2 linked regions of the Oryzias latipes genome follow. The protein of the gene in region 2 purifies or fractionates together with the protein of the main gene of each other region. This does not show direct contact. Links are inferred from orthologs where the notes say so. Each region holds a gene or a part of one and is shown on either strand. Other genes may lie near its edges.

Region 1 (5,044 bases), on a different chromosome or scaffold from region 2:
GTCGTCTGCTTTGCTGATGTTCAGCACAAATATTAAACATGTTTCTGAAAATCACAGCAGGAGACCTCAAGACGGATGATCTGCACGCATTTCAAAACACCTGCGGAGGCGGAGCTTGACCCACGCAGGTGTGTTTGTACCTGAGTAGCTTTGCTGTCTGGTGACTCCTTCTCCCCCGACGACTGGCCGTCTCTCTTGGCGCCGTGCGCTCTCTCTGAGGTCTCTGACGAGGGCGTGGTCTTACCTGTGGGTCAGAGGTCACAGCTTGGATCAAACTGCAGTCCCTTTTGTGGTGCTTTACTGACACCCTGTGGTGAAATGAAGGAACTGCAACTTGTAACGAGATGTAAAGGTTCTCCGTCACATTGAAGCCCATCAGGACAACTATTGTTGTAATTTTAGGGTTTATAAATTGAATTGGTCGTATTTAAGGAATTCTGTGACAAATTGGGATAAAGGTTTGTCTTTTATTCCGTCAAAGTATTGGATTCGTTCAGTTTTGCTTCAATTAAATCTTAATTGGTCTTTCTGAAGATCGGCCATGATGAGGGCGCCGTTTTCACAACGCATCAGGGCGGGGCTTCACACAGAGCCTTTCTGATTGGCTCAGACTGTCTGACTTCATTTCCTCTCTGTGCTCTCAATCAGAGCCCGTCTGGAAAACACGGTTGACGGTTGAATTCCCTGAGGGCGGCGCTGAGGCTACAGCTGCGCCGAGGGGTCGCTGGCTCCAACCAGCTGCTGTTTGCATTTGACCTCTGACCTCTCTTGCTGTCCGGGCTCTGCTCGCTCTTGGTCTCGCTGTTCTCACGGAGCGTGGCGGCGTTGTTCTCGGGGGCGGGGCTTGTGCTACAGCTGTTTTCCTGCTTCACTGGGGACGAGTCTGCGATGGAGCTCTGGTTGCTGTTGTCGTCTGAAGGAGAAGCACGCTCAGCCTTTATTTACATTCATCAGAGAACGACCTGTTGTCATGTCCAGCTGTGACCTCAGGTGGGGGGGTGGGGCCTCACCGTGCATGTCCATCATCCCCGGAGACGAGCTGTTCTCCGGGGTCGTCACCTCTGAGCCGTACTTCTCATCTTTGCCCTTTTTCTTGTTTTTGTTTTTCTGAAAACGGAAAATAAGAATCATCCATTTTGAAGAGAAACCCCGGCTGACAGGTGTCAGAGGCGGACTCACGTCCTCAGATTTGGGCTCCGTCACCGGGACCCACTTGTAGATGCGGAGGGACGTGTCTCCCACCGTCACCCACTTCTTCTCCCTGAAGAGAGGAAACCATCAGGACAGGAAGCATCTCTGACTTTAAGGGGAAAACCTCATCATCCTGACAGAAGCGCCTTTCATTAAAAAACCAAAAATCACATCAAAAGAAGATTTTTTCCCCTTAATTATATCAATAATAAATCCTTTAAATATATATGTTAAAAGGGATTTATGTGAAAAATGCTATTTTCTCCTCTTTAAAAATCTTATTTTAAGATTTCAAACTGATTTTATTACTTTTATATTTTACAAAATACATTAATTATATTATTGATTAGTTACCGATCAGATGTATATATACAAAAATCTTAAACAGCTTTATTATTCATAAATGAATATGAAGTGTGTGTTGGAAAAAAATATTTTTCTATAATTTATAAAAACCAACAAAAAAGTTATAAAAATAATGTCACTAAATGATCAATATATTGATTATTGATCAGTATGATTCGATTATTTCCCTTGTTTTTCTAAATCACTACTTAAACCTTTAAAAAAGCTACATTTAGGTGTTAAGGTAAAATCCCTCTATCTAAATAAACAATTTTGGTATTAAAATTTCTCATATATAAGAAAAAAATGTAAACTGAAACAAATGTTTAATCCTTAAACTGATGTTAATAAAACTAAACAGAAGTTAAAATGTGTTTTAAAAATATTTTTTATTAGGAATGAATTGTTGCAATTTACAAACAAAATGTTTAACTTTTTTTAAATTTGGGGGAATAACTGACTGAAACTGTTTTGTTTACCCGCCTAAAGTTTCTGGTTCCGGTTTGTTTATTCCGTTTTATTTTCTTAACTTTAATCGAAAAAAATAAACTTCTGACTTTGACCTGGAGACGTTTGATTAATCCACCCAGACAGGCAGAAATTGAAAAAAATACCGCCCCCCGGCGGGGTCACGCGGCTGGATCCACGCTCCTCGTGTCCGGGTGATAACCGTATATGTGCGGCGGAGAAGCTGAAGGCGGTTAAAGGGTGATTTTCCGCGGCGAACCGGTCGCTCGGCGCCGCTGGCTGCGCGTTCAGCCATGCATCTCGGCGGACTTCCCTCTCCCAACCCCCACCGACCGAGCGCTGCTCCGTCGGACCCGAAGGGCGACTCCGAGCGCTGCCTTAAAACTCCTCGCGGGCCGAAGAGCCCGGACTCCGGAGCGTCATCGAACGGTCCCTCCGTCCGCGCCGGGTGTTCGTTTGGCCGGCGCCGCTCCGCTCGCGCTCCCGGCTCCGCAGCGAGCAGCAATGGCTTCATGTGACTGCATCGAAATGGCTTCTTCTGGGTTCAGCCCTAGCCGTTAAAAATCGGCGGAAAAACAGCGGCTATGCGACGAACCGGTTCCCGCCGAAGCCCGCCTCCGACCGGCGAAGACCGGTACGCCGGTGCGGACCGCTGCACCTGAGCCGCGGCGGGATCTGCCGTCCAGAAAACGTCGTTTTCTTTCAATTTCATCCGTCTCCGTCTCGCTTCTTCCCTCTCCTCCCCCAACAAGAGAGCCTTTCTGCTCCCGGGTAACGAAGCGCTCCTTTCCCGGCGTTTACTCACCATTTTCGTACTTTCTCGATGGCGGCCATGACCCTCTTGATGTCATCTTTGGCCCTGCTCCGGGTCTCCGCTCGGACCGACCTGCCCGACATTTCCGCGCTGCTAAAATATTTTTAAAGCTCGCCGGCAGTTCAGACACAATGCAAACAGTAGAGCGCACAGAGAGGCCAGTGCGCCTGCGCGGCTCCGGGGGAAGAGGGGGGGGGCGGCTGCGGCTGCGCGCTGAGCTCAGATCAGATCCTGCTGAGCGGCGGAACAAAGAAGCCGCAGCCGCCTCCGCTCTGCCCCCCAGGTCTGCCCCCAGAGCCGGTACAGGGTGTCCGCCGCGGCAGGAACACAGCTGTTCTGTTTTTACCCACTCACTTGTAAAAAAAATCGCCATAAAAAGAGAAAAAGTTTGACTCTTTGTCATTTTTGTTGGTATTTTACACAAAAAGAACAAAGCAGCTTTACCGCAGAGACATCAAAGGGCCGGAAACACCAACATGGAATTAGAGGGAGGCTTTCTGATTCAAACTAATGGAAGTTCAGAATCAGAAAGCCTTTATTATCATTGTTACACAAGAAACTTGTGACAACGAAATTCTGTTGCTCTTAGATATATGATCCATAAACATCTGAGCTCTTCATGCAGCCACACGGTGTCGTCTGGTCTGTTTACACACTTTCAAATCCAAACCGGTCTCCAGCGAGAGAGAGAAGATACTGCCTAACAGGTATCTACCAAATGTTCGGCTTAGCCGCTCAAATGAATCCAGGGTGTTGTCCACAAACAGATCTTTAAATCTTGTGTTGCCCTTCTTGTGCCACTCCTGAAAACCCCTGTCGTGAAGGGAGGGTATGAAAACACTTTGAGGCCATCACCACCAAAACACCATTTCTGCTAAATGTTTATTATTTTCAATGATTTTTTTTTTGGTAGACTTTTTTTCATTTAACATAATTTAAAATGTGCGGTTGCTATCCACGTTTAGCTTAGCCATGTTGGGTTCTGGTTGAAACTATCATGACTGTCACACTGTGACATATAGTGAAGTTACGCTTGTGACCCGAGGCTGTCAGTACTGACAAAACATGTCCATCATATTTGGACCAACCAGAGTTGCCTCGTTTATCACTGAGGATGCGTTTCATAATTGACCCATGAAAGGGTAAAATACTAAGTTCACACTGGGCAAGCAGGGAGGGGCTTCTTCTTCTTCTTTCCCCACTGTTTACTATATCTGCCACAGTTGGAAGAGGCTGGGTGTGAAATGTCAGTGGTGCAAATCTTGCCCAAGACTTTTTCTTTCACAGCTCCATTCTGATAAATCACAGAATTCCTGCTGGACGTAAACCACAATTATACATTTCTGCAGCTCCATGAGCTTTTTTTCAATGGTTGGCACTTCTGTGAATTCGAGAGGACACCATCCATTCGTCACTACCAAGTCCCTGCTTGGTCAAACTTTGACCTGGTTTACCTTGCAACGTGCGTTCAGTGCCCATGCGTTCTGTACGTAGAACCCAAAACGGTAGAACCTTCCATAGATGCGAGTTCTAAATGAAGCCCCAAACTTTGCATAAACTTTTCAGTGGAAGTGGCTGCAGGTCTGGAGGCAGAAGACCATGAGGAAAAAATAAGGCACATAAAAGGATTCCGGGGGTAAATGGCGTACACTTGTGTAGCGCTTTTCTACCTTCCTCGAAGGCGCAAGGCGATTTACAGTCACACACACAGTCACACACTGGTGGCAACTCCGCTGCCGAACTCTGGCGCCAACCTCCCACCAGAGGCAAGGTGGGGTTCAGTGCCTTGCCCAAGGACACTTTGACACATGAGTGGGCAAGGCGAGAATTGAGCCCGTAATGCTATGTATGGAGGGTGACCGCCCTACCGCTGCACCACGGCCGCCCTTCAATTTAGCTTTAAACCTTTATGAATTTTTAAATAGCTTGCATAATGAGAAATGAATCAAAATACTTAAAATAAAAAACAGTTTTTTAATTCCAAATAGAAGTCAAAATTGACATTTTTTCTCTGTTGTGGTGCATTTCTCACAGCAGTATTCAAGTTTACACCACTGCTGAGGCCTTTCTAAAAAAAATAATTAGTACAAACTGCAAAACATGGTAGATAACCTGCAAACGTGAGTCGCTTTCTCAAAATGGAAAGTCAATAGGAAGTCAACAAACAGCAAGTTTCTTAAGACAACTTTCCGAATTACATAAATGAAATCTTTGAATTTCTAATTA
Region 2 (4,450 bases):
GAAGACGCCGCACAGAAAAGCTTTTGATTCTTATCATTTTATTTATTTTGCCACAAATTTGATTTAAAGATCAAATCTGTTCCAACATCTGATCTGTCTGAAAGTTTAAGAATAATTTATAAAACTCTTTCAGGTATTTGTTTTTAAGTGTTGTTTATTTATTTTAATCCACTGTGATTGATAATAAAAATGTTTTTTCCCCCCCTGGAGAACCAAAGAACAATGTTCGTATGACTCTTTAGAGCTTTATTTTTTGGTTCGCTCATTTTGAGTAGCAGCAATTAAAAGCGGCCAATAAATAAAAGAATAAAATCAAAACATGTAAAAATGTAAAAGTTTAAAATGTCTTTAAATAAGACAAAAGCTGAAAGCTTAGAAAGGGTGCATCACCACTGTTTGATGTCTTTCAGGCAGGAAGACCAAATCCGTTCAAATTTTCAAAATAAAAGACTGTCGACCTGTTCAGGGCGTACCCCGCCTCTGTCCAACTGTAGCAAGGACAGGCTCCAGCAACCCTGTGACCTTAAATGGGGAACATGCAGCAAAAAAATTAAAATATTACCGTAGATTACAAATAGGTTTGCAAAAAGACGATGTAAGTTTACGTTTCCTGGTAAATTTTATTGCCCTGAAAGCAAAACAAAGAAAAGCACATTGAGTTTTAATGCTTAGAGGCAAGAGGATTAAGCAACGCCTGACTAAATCTGAATAAACCCGCTTATGGGATTGAAATAAAATAAAAAAACGTATTCTAGGTGAGACGTCCTGTTTGCTGTTGAAACCACAGACCAGTCAGTTCACCAAGTCACCACTAGGTGGCTTGTTACACAAGCCAGTTCAATTCTTTTTAATGTCTGGATACCTTTCATTTACATTTACAAGGAGATTTTCCTTCTTCATTTGGGGAGATTGCTTTGTTGATTTTGCCTGGTTTTAAAAAAAGAAAAGATAATGAATTGATTTTTTATTGAAGAATAAACAACTATTCATCAAACCCTTTAAGAAGCTCGGATTTTATGTAAAAAATATCACAATTTAATTGACAAAAGTTCTGCTTTTATTCAGTTTGTATCACTAGTTCTGTAAAAGGGATTTTTTTTTTTCTGAAACAAAACAGGATCTGATAAATCCACCAAAAATGTGTTTTAGACGCAAATATTCTCACACGCTCTGATCATTTCATTTGTATTTGACGAAAGAAAAAAGGTTATTTACTGAGTTTAACTGGAATTTAAAAATGCAGACTCTGAGAACAGAGAGGAATCACAAAAAGACAATGATAACAAATATGTTAGTTACTCGTTGATTTAGAGAAACTTTAAGTTTTAAGGCCAAATTGTTCCTCATCAGGTCATCTGCATCTGTGTTTCCTCTTTTACATTATTCCTTCCAATCCAGTTTTTCTGGTTTCTCTAGAAACATCAGAGCATCATCTTCACTCCAAAAGTGGACCTCCTCCTCCTCCTCCTCCTCCTCCTCCTCCTCCTCCTCCTCCTCTTTGCTTTTCTGTCCTTTGGCCTTCCTTTGTCTGTTTTCTCTTCAGGTGTTTGGCCTCCGTGTGACTGAATTTGAGAGCTTCTCTGTTTTTATCGTTTTATTTACAGACGCGCTAAAACTGTAGATGCCGCGTCATCTCAGGAACCCCGCGAGCGCATTTTCAGATCAGATAAAAGTGAAGCTCTTCCTCTGTGTTCAGGGTGGAGCGTGCACGTGTGTGTGCATGTGTGTGTGTGCTGACCTCCACCAGGTGGTTGTCAGGACCGTACAGGTCTTTGTCCAGCTCAATCACCAGGCTCTTGAAGAAGGAGGAGAACTTCTTCTTCTGTTTCCCCGGCTGCACAAACAAAGCAATAGTTAATTTTCACCTCATGACCTTCCTCCACGTCTAATGACTCATAGGAAGCTGAAACACAAAGAAGAAACTGGATTTCCTGCGAACCTAACCAGAAATATTTGTGGCTTCTGACACCTGAAAGGCTCCGCCGGCTGTCAAACATCAGACGGCTCCTTCTGCCCTTCATCTGTTTTCTCAGCGTCAATCATTGATATTTTGAGCCAGAAGACATTTTTTCAGTCCAAACTGTGGACCCAGACGCCTCAGAACTCTCAGATCAAAGAGCGACACACTTTCACGGCGATCAGTGAGATTGCAATCGGTTATTTTCAGACGTTTAGTCCGACATTTAACGCCTGAATTAGAAAAAGAAGCTCACATCATCCAGCAGCTTCCCTTCAACCCGCAGCTCCCACGATGCAATGCTGCCGTCCGAGTCGTCGGCGTCCGGCCGGGCCGGGTTGAAGGTGTTGGAGATGTAAAGTCTCAGTTTTCGTTTTTGCTGCTGACACGAAAACATGACAAAGCGCACGGATCAGGGCGGACCGGACCGGACGGACCTGCCGGCGCCGGCCGGGGCCGCTTCCACTACCTTCATGGGTCTCTTCAGGGCCTCCTGGATGTCCACGCGCTTGCGCATGATGGTCTGATCCAGTTTGCGCTCGAAAGCCAGCAGATCCATGTAGGCCTGGGACTCCGGGACCAGCTCACGGATCTGCTCGGAAAGAAGCCCGCCGTTTGGGATTAGACAGCGTGAATGAAGCAGCGTGATCTTCTCAGCAGATCCAATCAGCTTCAAAAGATGAGCGGTCTGTTCTGAGGCGTCTATAAAACACCAAAGCCTGTCCAGAGAAAGTTTGGAGGCTGTTATGAAGCCAAACCCTCAGCACTTCTAGGAAATTTTTAATATTTTACGCTTCCTTTGTGCACGACAAAGACCAGCAACAAGCAAAGCTGGTCCTCCCCTGAGCAAATAGTACAACACTCGACGTTACGTACGTACCAGTATAATTATATACTGTGGAGTGTGCATGTGTAGTGTAGAAGGTATACTAACTGAATACTTCTTTAGACTAAATTTCCATCATTAAAAACTGCTTTTATCAGTGTTTACTCAACCGACATCTTTCCAACGAAGTTAAATACTAAACTTTATGGCAGAAAAGTAATTCAAAATGCAATATTTATCTAAAATAGTAACAGAAATGAAAGACCCACTCTGATGAAAATGTGTTTTTAACATTTTTTTGTGGCCTTTTTCTCCTGGTGGAGGACATAGTTGATCATGGCGGCGGCGCGTGCACTCGCCATCTTTCCGTGGATTTTTGATCGCGTTTGTCCGTTTGTTTGTCTTTTTCTTACGGACTTTTATATTCTTATATTTTTTTATTTATTCTTGATGTTTACTTCTTTTTGACTGAATTTTGGGAATTTCGCTGTAGAAATACACTGACAATAAAAATCTTTGAATATTTAGAAATAAAATGAATATTTCTTTAGTCGAACCGTTGTGAACTAGGAGCCGAGGATAAAAACTGTTTAAAAGTTTAAGAAAACATGTCTTGTCACTAGAATATTTTGCTTGCAATAGGAATTCTTGTCAGGACAGTTTTTCTTACCCCACTGGCACAAAAAAAGCTTATTTAAATGGTTTTTATAAAGAATTTTTGATATATCTTTAAGGATTTTCGCACCAACAAATTTTAGGGATCTTTCATATTTAAAACTTTAAAGATAATCTATTAATCTCATTTTAATAACTCCTTATTATATTTTGTTACTTAAATGATTGTTCATATGACGATTTTGAATTTTATTTTCAAAAAGGGGGCTAAACCAAACATTTTTGCCCCATTTCCCTTCAGGATTTTCCTTTTTTCTATTTGAAATATTTAAATTTTTTGACCAGATTTACATTTTTTGGTTTGTGGGCCCCCCGGCGCCGCTTTCTTTGATCCTGCCAACACATTTTAGGGATTTTAACGTGTAAAACTTTACAGATAACCTTTTGGTCTCACTTTAATTCATCCTTTTAATATATATATATATATATTTTTTTTACTTAAGTGGGTCAGTTTTATATGACAGTTTTAATTTAAAAAGGGTGGAAAAAAAGTAATTTATGTTGCTTCCATAAAATATAAGTGGACAATAACTGCTGGTCTGTGTCATTTTATTAAAAAACTGTTACTGAATCAAAGCATATTAAAAAAAACACCCTAATTATTTTTTAATAAACTTCTATAAACTTCCTCATACAGAAACAACCCTGTGAAGTCTTTTTATGCAATTAAAAAGAACAAACTGTTTGACCTTTACTTCCTGAAACTCTTGATTTTACTCTTAATGCATCTTCTTCTATGAAAAGGAACAGAAAAAAAATGGGGATTTTTTCAACAAAACAGTTACAAATATATTTGTAACCAATCAAATAAAATAAAAATAAAAGTAAAAATTTGAAATCTCAGATTTTTCTTGAAATTCAGGGATGCTGCTCTGACCGACACAGATCTGCGTCCTCGGAGCATCTCTGCTCTCCAAGCGGAGCCCCCCTCCTCCAGTCCCCCCCCCCCGTCCTCTCCTTCATCGGGCTGATGATGAAGGACTGTTGCAGAC

Evidence for each region.
Region 1: the proteins of smarcd3 (region 2) and bcl7a purify together in Homo sapiens (affinity purification with mass spectrometry; 4 studies listed by BioGRID and IntAct, counting the BioPlex papers as one, with this or other methods). This does not show direct contact. The link is inferred for Oryzias latipes from reciprocal best matches to the Homo sapiens genes SMARCD3 and BCL7A.

What each region holds. Positions count from the first base shown.
Region 1 is NC_019870.2:1,211,780-1,216,823, forward strand, and holds the start of bcl7a (B-cell CLL/lymphoma 7 protein family member A), read right to left. Parts: upstream 3,009-5,044; 5' UTR 2,902-3,008; coding exon 2,810-2,901; intron 1,262-2,809; coding exon 1,011-1,261; intron 914-1,010; coding exon 764-913; intron 245-763; coding exon 141-244; intron 1-140.
Region 2 is NC_019878.2:21,171,431-21,175,880, reverse strand, and holds part of smarcd3 (SWI/SNF-related matrix-associated actin-dependent regulator of chromatin subfamily D member 3), read right to left. Parts: intron 2,550-4,450; coding exon 2,427-2,549; intron 2,340-2,426; coding exon 2,214-2,339; intron 1,835-2,213; coding exon 1,739-1,834; intron 1-1,738. UniProt on the Homo sapiens protein: Involved in transcriptional activation and repression of select genes by chromatin remodeling (alteration of DNA-nucleosome topology).